Macaca mulatta: one gene and its partner. The protein of the gene in region 1 purifies or fractionates together with the protein of each later gene. This does not show direct contact. Links are inferred from orthologs where the notes say so. Each region holds a gene or a part of one and is shown on either strand. Other genes may lie near its edges. The genes, in order: GEMIN2 and SNRNP70.

Region 1 (4,777 bases):
GTACTTAAAGACATTTAACTTTAAATTGCCTACTTCTGTTTTCTTTTTTTGAGACGGAGTTTTGCTCTTGTTGCCCAGGCTGGAGCGCAATGGCGTCATCTCGGCTCACCACAATCTCTGTCTCCCGGGTTCAAGCAATTCTCCTGCCTCAGCCTCTCGAGTAGCTGGGATTACAGGCGTGTGCCACCACACCCGGCTAATTTTGTATTTTTAGTAGAGACGGGGTTTCTCCATGTTGGTCAGGCTGGTCCTGAACTCCCGAACTCCTGTGATCCGCCTGCCTTGGCCTCCCAAAGTGCTGGGATTACAGGCGTGAGCCACTGTGCCCAACCATACTTCTATTTTCTAAAACAGCACGTATAGCCTGAGCAACATATCAAGACCCCGTCTCTACAAAAAATACAATTAGCTGGGCACTGTGGCACATGCCTGTCGTCTCAGCTACTGGGGAGACTGAGGTGGGAGGATGGCTTGAGCCCACGAGCTCGAGGCTGCAGTGAGCTATGATCATGGCACTGTACTCTGGCCTATGCAACAAAGCGAGACCTTGTCTCAATCAATCAATCAATCCATCAAATTAGGTATATTAAGACATTCTGTTCCATTAAATGTCCATCAACTAAAAAATCCTGAAGAGGAATTATAAGAAAAATTATAGTGTCTGAATTAAAATTTCCTGATTACAAATATCAGTTAGAACAACTACTTTGAACATGAAAAGGAAATTACTATCAACTAGTTAAAATGCCACTCTTCCAGGCACCTGTAGTTCCAGCTACTTGGGAGGCTGAGGCAGGAGAATGGTGTGAACCCAGGAGGCGGAGGTTGCAGTGAGCTGAGATTGCACCACTGCACTCCAGCCTGGGTGACAGAGTGAGACTCAGAGACTCTGTCTCAAAGAAAAAATAAATAAATAAAATAAAATGCCACTCTCCTTTGAGCTTAGGTTAAATAGCACCTCCTTAGAGAGACCTTTGCTGGCCAGGTGTGGTGGCTCACACCTGTAATTCCAGCACTTTAGGAGGTGGAGGCAGGCAGATCACTTCAGGTCAGGAGTTCGAGACCAGCCTGGCCAACATGGTAAAACCACGTCTCTACTAAAAATACAAAAATTAGCCGGGTGTGGTGGCACACACCTGTAATCCCAGCTACTTAGGAGGCTGAGGCAGGAGAAGCTCTTGAACCTGGGAGGCGGAGGTTGTGATGAACTGAGATCGTGCCACTGTACTCCAGCCTAGGTGAAAAATAGAGACTCAAAAAAAAAAAAAAAAGGGAAAAAGAGAGTCCTTTTATGATTCCTCTATCTACAGTAGTTCTGTCATGTATTATTATATATGCTTATTTTCTTCATAGCAATAATCACAATATGTAATTATTTGTTCGCTTGTTTACTCTCTGTCTTCCTCAGGAGAGTATGTAAACTCTACAAGGGTAAGAACCGTTTTTGTCTTATCCTCTGTTGTATTCCCAGGGCCCGGCACTGTACTCTGCTTAATTAAAGATGTGCTGGATAAATGAAAATGTCCAGAGTGTGCACATAGCTATAAAAGTAAGGCCGGGTATGGTGGCTCACACCTGTAATCCCAGCAGTTTGGGAGGCAGAGGTGGGCAAATCACGAGGTCACGAGTTCGAGACCAGACTGACCAACACGGTGAAACCCCGTCTCTACTAAAAATGCAAAAATTAGCCGGGTGTGGTGGCGAGCGCCTGTAATCCCAGTTACTCAGGAGGCTGAGGCAGGGTAATCGCTTGAAACCGGAAGGCAGAGGTTGCAGTGAGCCGAGATCGCACCACTGCATTGCAGCCTGGGCAACAAGAGTGAAACTCTGTCTCAAAAAAAAAAAAAAAAAAAAAAAAAAAATGTGTAAGACATCTGGGTTTCTATTAAAAAAAGTGAAATTTAGTCAAATTCAGATTAAATTATATTAAACTAAGATTAAACACCAATCCAATAACTGGAAAAAGGTTCCTTAAAAATAAAGGGGTCAGGCGAGGTGGCTCATGCCTGTGATCCCAATGCTTTGGGTGGCAGAGGTGGGAGGATCCCTTGAGGCCAGGAGTTCCAGACCTGCTGGCAACAGAGACTCACTCTCTATAAACAAACAAACAAGCAAAAAGAAAAAAGATAGCATAAGTAACCCATTTAAAGACTCCTTTGAAAGGACTGGATAATGTCCCTGAAGTAAGATGGGCAAGCCTCCACAAAGGCTAGAGTTACAGAAAGCCTCTTTAGAGGCAGTAAATGCCAATTGTGTTTCTGGAGGAAAAAGTACAAGCGAATGTCTAACTTTGCAGCGAGTAGTCAAATCTTACATCATAATTGATACTGTTGGATACTATAGGGAGCGTTAGTCTTTTAACTGGGGGATTGGGGGTAAGCTCCAGACGGTTAATAAAACTCACAGAAATATTCACACTTTGCTTCCTTTTCAACTTCTTTGGGTCAATTTGAGCTACCACAACATCTGGACATTGAGCTGCTTCGATCCTACAAATAAGTAATAAACGCGAGAAATTAAATTTCTATTGTGCTTTGCTCAGGTGTAGTAAAACGAGCGATCCACTTCCACAGTTCATTGTGAAATTAGAAAAAAAATTCAGACTTCCAATTGAGGAACTAAACAATATATTTCTGAAATTATCTGGATCGAAAACAAATCTAAGAGCACACATCTTGATACGTGCAATCACGTTCAACAGAAACTCGCCCACGTTAGGATGTAATCCAGAATCCTGAATAGACCCGAACTCGCAAGAGACTGGAACGGGAATAGAGCACCGGGGGCTGTACCCAGGGGCAGCGCAGAAGACCAGCCCACCCGCCCAGGGCCAAATCACTCACTGGACCCGCCTCAGGTATTCCTGAGGCGTCCTCGGGGGTACCGAGGGATCGAAACCTTCCGTCAAGTCGCAGGGCTCTACCGGCAATAGCCGAGGCATCAACTCTTCCACTGCGGACTCCGCTGGTACCCACGCCATGGTTTTCAAACCAGCCAGTTCCGCTCAGCGCTTGCGCCCATTCTAGGTCACAGCGCAGGCGCACAAGTAGACACCTTAGGCGCGGAGCTGAGCAAGCGGCAGTTTAGGGAGCGTTAACTGCGCATGAACAAACTGCTGCTTGCCTCAAGGTTAAGGCTCCGGTGGTGTAATAAAGGATCTGAGAATTTAATTCCTAGCTGAATTGGTTCGAACGCGTTTCTGGGTCTTTTACCCTCTGTTTTGTTTTCTAACGCTGGGTAAAGGCCGAGGGTTAGCAACTTTTATGCATCTCTAGTAGTGAGGGATCCTTAGAAATGTTTTTTGAATTAATGAACAATATTACGGTAATTATCATTCATGGAGCTCTAAATTTTTAAACCCTTAATAAACACACACATTTTCTCATTTGATTCTTAGAACAATCTTGTGAAGTGGGTAGTAATATTCCGCTTTCTTAGGGCAGGGACTGACCTTCCAAAGGGGAAGAACCAATTCCAACCTAGATTTATCCGATGCCAAATGAATGAAAAATTAATTTTCTACAGGAATTTCTAGTGCTTGACCACTTCAAAGATCACTGTATGTTTATTTGGAATGAATATTACTCCTAGAATAGCCAGCACTTTTTAATTTTCGTTTTAAAGAAAAATCTCTTCGTTTAAATACAAATAGTGAAAAAATGAAACTAATGCTAACACCCAGAAATTAAAAATGTTAGGTCAGTCTTGTTAGGTAGATAGTATTATTATCTCCATTTCATAGGTGAGGAAACAAGGCAGGAATGTGCAAGAAACAAGTATAATATCTGATTATTTCTAAACAAATACAATTGAGTGAATGCAATTGACTTTTATTTTCTAACATTTATGTTTATTTTAGAAGGTTTAAAAAAATTTTTTTATTTATAGCACTGCCTTTAGCTTGCAAGGAACTGATTTTAAACCAGGATGTAAATCTAAATTGAAGATAAAGTGAGGATAGTCCTTAGCTTATTTAAGTACTTAATGCTTAGGAACTGCAACTAAACAGTTGGGACACTGGGAAAGATAACACCTGGCTGCAGACTACAGTTATTTGGTTAACAAATTTTCACTGGTTTTGGGAAAAACAGACTTAAAAGAGAATAGGGAGAAATACTCCTGTCCTCCAACATTTTGGTGATAATCAAGGACAAATATGAAAAAGTAGTGACTTGAGGACTAAACTGATTTTTTTATTTTGCCCAAATTCCTATCTAAGGGGTCTGGGGAGTCATGCCCTACAAAGCATAAATTCTCATCAGATGGGTTTTATTTAACCCTATATATCATGATTTACTTTTCAACCTCACTTCAGCATAACATTATGAGACAAAGAAGAAGAAAAAAATATTTTACCCCAAAACATGTTTCTTTGCCCTATTTTGAAAAGGCCCTGCAAAGCTGTTCTTCGTGGGGGAAAATTTGCATCTGTAAAGAATCTTGGCCAGGCGCGGTGGCTCACGCTGTAATCCCAACCACTTTGGGAGGCTGAGCTGGGCAGATCACCTGAGGTCAGGAGTTCCAGATCAGCCTGGCCAACATGGTGAAACTCCATCTTTAGTAAAAATACAAAATATTAGCTGGGCATGGTGGCGGGCGCCTGTAATCCCATCTACTTGGGAGGCTGAGGCAGAAGAATCGCTTGAATCCAGGAGGTGGAGGTGGCAGTGAGCCGACATTGTGCCATTGCACTCCAGCCTGGGCAACAAGAGTGAAACTCCATCTCAAAATAAATAAATAAATAAAATAAAATATTACCCAGCCTTGACCTCCTAGA
Region 2 (4,222 bases), on another chromosome or scaffold:
AAAAAAAAAAAAAAAAAAAAATTAAAAAAAAAAATAAATAACTAGTAACTGAGACCAGGCACGGTGGCTCACGCCTGTAATCCCAGCACTTTGGGAGGCCAAGGTGGGCGGATCACGAAGTCAGGAGATCCAGACCATCCTGGCTAACACGGTGAAACCCCGTTTCTACTAAAAATACAAAAAATTAGCCGGGCGTGGTGGCAGGCACCTGTAGTCCCAGCTACTCCGGAGGCTGAGGCAGGAGAATGGCGTGAACCCAGGAGGCGGAGCTTGCAGTGAGCTGAGATAGCACCACTGCACTCTAGCCTGGGCGACAGAGCAAGACTCCCTCTCAAATAAATAAATAAATAAATAGAAACTGGCACATGACCTGCATCATCAAAGGGCACCTACCACCGCCTGTGCCCATTAAGTTAATTTAACTGGCCAGTAACACTTCTCAAATGCGGGTTCACCAAGGGTGGCAAATCCCACTGAAGATACACCTTTCTGTTATCTATGAACTTCTGCTGTGCAACTCCCTCGCCTCCAGCTGCCCTTCCCTACGCAATGCCAGAATGTTCTTGTAACTTCTGGCTATGTGCCAGTTTTTCTCAGGTGTGCTCTGATGCACCTAGGAGAAGACCTTTGTCATCCCATTTCACAAATAAAAACACAGAGGTCCAGGAGCCTAAGTCATTCATTCCTATTTACCCCGAAGGTGCAGAGCTAAGATCCCCATCTGCAGTTTTAAGTCCTCCAATACTCAATACTGGGTGCTAAGTCTTTATGAACATCATCTTATTAACAATAAAAACAGTAAACAAAGTAACAAAGGCTGACACGTGCTGACTGGTTGGTGCCAAGCCCCTGATATACACTTTGCCATTTAATTCTCCAGCATTATGAGGGTGCTACCACTATCCCCTTGCTAAAGATAAAGAAACCAATGCATGAAGAGGATACAACATTTGCCCAAAGTCAGAGCTGATAAATGGTGCGGGTTAAGTGCCAATCTTCAACCACTACTCACTGAATTTTCACAAAAATTCTACAAAAGGGGTACTATCAAACCCTACTTTTTTTTTGAGACAGTCTTCTTCTGTTGCCCAGGCTGGAGTGCAGTGGCACGATCTCAGCTCATTGCAACCTCCACCTCCTGGGTTCAAGTGATTCTCGTGCCTCAGCCTCCCAAGGAGCTGGAATTACAGGCATCATCATGCCCGGCTAATTTTTGTTATTTTTAGTAGAGACGGGGTTTCACCATGTTGGTCAGGCTGGTCTTGAACTCTTCACCTCAGGTGATCCACCTGCCTCAGCCTCCCAAAGTACTGGGATTACAGGCGTGAGCCACCGCACTGGGCCACAACCCCACTTTAAAAAAAATTTTTTTTTTTTTGAGAGACAAAGTCCTGCTCTGTCACCCAGGCCGGAGTATAGCGGCACAATCACAGAGCACTTCAGTCCCCAACTCCTGGGCTCAAGCAATCCTCCCATCTCAGCCTCCTGAGTAGCTAGAACTACTGCTGCACTCGACCACACCCGGCACCCGGCTGCAACCCCATTTAAAACAGCGAAACTGAGGATCACAAAGATTAAGCCCCTCGCTTAAATCACACAGCTAGCAAAATAGTCAGAGGCTGGACTCGCAAATCCAACCCCTTGCTCCCCAGAACCCAAACCATTCCTGGCCTGCTCAGTGAACTCACCTCAAACTCTCGAATGTACGGCGCAATGCCACAGTAAGGTTGATTGTGGTGTTTTTCATGTGGCAGTTTCTCCAGGGGTGGCAGGTATGGGATAGGGTCACGGGGGGCAAAGAGGGCCAGAAGGTTGGGCGGCAGGAACTGGGTCATCTTGCCAAGTCTGAGAGCAGAAGCAGGACAGCCTTAGGTTAGATCGGGTCTGCAGAGAAAGCCCCTATTACTCCTTGACTCTCAAAGTAAGAAAGAAAGGAGAAAAGTCTCGGAATTAAAACAGGCTTTGTAACGGCAGAGAACGGTCCTGTGTTACGGAGAAAAGGGTAAAAGTCTTGTTGGAGGTGGAGGTGAAAGGCCGGTAAAAGACACAAAAATAAAGGCTGAAAAAGGGTTCCTGAGTAGTGAAGTCTCAGAGTCCTGAGACACGAGCTGTGGGGCGGAGAGGTTGCCTGGGAATTTCTGGGGGAATCAAAGACCCGAGGAGGGAGGCCCAGGGCAGTTGTGGCTGCTCGTCCCGTACCGTGGACAGCAAATTACTAGACGCAGTTTGCAAGGGCCTGGGGGTCGGAAGTCTCCGAGCAAAGAAAGAGAAACATAAGGAGCGAAGCCCCAAAACCAAGCGCTTGTGGGTAACAGATCTGGGCCCCGCAAAGGCGAAAGGAATTATGGGTAAGGGTCCAGGACAACATAGAAAAACGAAAAAGAAAAAAGGCTACACACCGCAAGGGCCTGTGGGTAGGGAACCGCGAGGGCGATGTGGGGACCGGGCGTGGGTGCCCAGAGAACTCGGGGTCCGAGAAAGGGATGCAAAAGTGACCTGTGGCGAGGACGCGGGAAGGGGGCCTGGCCGCGGGGAAGAGGCCCGGGCCCACCGCTGGGGCTTCTGGGTAGCGGCCCCGCTCCCCGTCGGGCCACTCAGTCACACTCACTCGCCGCGCAGCGCCCTCCTAGCTCTGGTGTCTGTCCGGAGGCTCGCGGCGGCTGCGGCGGCCCCTCAGCAACAACAGCTCCTGCTTGGGCTTCCACTCTGGGGGCGTCCGCGTCCGTCTGATTCCGTCGCCCGCGCAGCGAGCGCACCAGGCCGCTGCTCAGGAACCCGCGCGGCCTCGGCTAGCGACTGGAGCAGGGGGTGGGTCCCGGCCGCAAATCCCTCCGCCGTCTGCACTGCGCACGCGCCGCGCGAGGCCAAGCTCAACCCACACGCTGGGACCCGGCGCCGCCGCGGCAACAGCGCACGCGCGAGGTCACCACCCCGCCTTCGGGCACCTTGAGTATTTCAACCGCCGGGAGCTGGCGTCTGCACTGCGCGCGCGCGCTTAGCCCCAAGCCGCCCCTCCACCTCTCGCTTTCCGCTCCAAACCGCCTATGTCCGCGAGGCTCTCCCTGATGCTCCGCCCCTTTCCAATCACACTTCCCGGATCTTGCGCGCATGCGTTCTGCGTAGGGAACTATAATGTACCTCTCCGCCGACTAGCAAAGAGTCCCTAAGTGAATGGCCTGATTGCGTTGATGTTTAATCTAGTCAATCGATAACTGTTCATCGAGCATCTCGTGTGTGCTAGGCACTGTCTGGGCTTTGGGGCTACAGCACGTGATTAAAGCAAAGTCTTCTCCTGCTAGGGCTTACACTGTACTGGGAGAGACAATAAAAGCATTTAACTGAGTAAAGATAATTTGAGGCCGGGCGCGGTGGATCACGCATGTAATCCCAGAACTTTGGGAAGCTGAGGCGGTCGGATCACCTGAGGTCAGGAGTGCGAGACCAACCTGACCAACATGGTGAAAGCCCGTCTCTACTAAAAATACAAAAATTATCCGGGCGTGGCGGTGCGCGCCTGTAATCCCAGTTACTCGGGAGGCTGTGGCAGGAGAATCGCTTGAACTCGGGAGGCTGAGTTTGCAGTGAGCCGAGGTCGTGCCATTGCACTCCAGCCTGGGCGACAGAGCGACTCCGTCTCAAAAATAAATAAATATAAAAAATAAAAGATATTTTGAGATAGTGGCCAGCATAATGAAGAACGATGGAGCAGAATAAAGGGATGGGAAATGAGAGCGAGTCTATTTTGATAATGGAAGCCTCTTCTGAAGAGGCAACATTTGAACAAAAACCAGATAGAAGCGAGATCTGGAGGGGGGGAGGAGCGGGGGGTGGTGTTTAACAGTTTAAGTGCAAAGGTCCTGAGCGAGGACCAGATGGCAGAAATCTCAGGTTGTTAGCCATGAGATCAGAGAGCTGGCACTTAAGCTATTTGGAGCCCTGTTGTTAAGTATCTTCAGTTTTGTGGATAGATTCAATAGCCTGTTTAATAACTACAGAAATTACTGCAAAATTCAATTGACTAATTTTATGTTTCAATAAAAAGGCCAAGTGCAGTGGCTCACACCTGTAATCCCAGCACTTTGGGAGGCCAAGGCGGGTGGATCACTTGAGGAGTTCGAGACCAGCCTGGCCAACATGGTGAAATCCCATCTCTACTAAAAATGCAAAAATTAGCTGAGAGTGGTGGCACACACCTGTAATTCTAGCTACTCGGGAAGCTGAG

The links.
Region 2: the proteins of GEMIN2 (region 1) and SNRNP70 purify together in Homo sapiens (affinity purification with mass spectrometry; 5 studies listed by BioGRID and IntAct, counting the BioPlex papers as one, with this or other methods). This does not show direct contact. The link is inferred for Macaca mulatta from reciprocal best matches to the Homo sapiens genes GEMIN2 and SNRNP70.

The regions. Positions count from the first base shown.
Region 1 is NC_133412.1:112,222,875-112,227,651, reverse strand, and holds the start of GEMIN2 (gem-associated protein 2), read right to left. Parts: upstream 3,043-4,777; 5' UTR 2,981-3,042; coding exon 2,844-2,980; intron 2,490-2,843; coding exon 2,405-2,489; intron 1-2,404. UniProt on the Homo sapiens protein: The SMN complex catalyzes the assembly of small nuclear ribonucleoproteins (snRNPs), the building blocks of the spliceosome, and thereby plays an important role in the splicing of cellular pre-mRNAs.
Region 2 is NC_133424.1:61,533,251-61,537,472, reverse strand, and holds the start of SNRNP70 (U1 small nuclear ribonucleoprotein 70 kDa), read right to left. Parts: upstream 2,801-4,222; 5' UTR 2,609-2,800; exon of another isoform or gene 2,400-2,608; intron 1,846-2,399; 5' UTR 1,836-1,845; coding exon 1,689-1,835; intron 1-1,688. UniProt on the Homo sapiens protein: Component of the spliceosomal U1 snRNP, which is essential for recognition of the pre-mRNA 5' splice-site and the subsequent assembly of the spliceosome. SNRNP70 binds to the loop I region of U1-snRNA.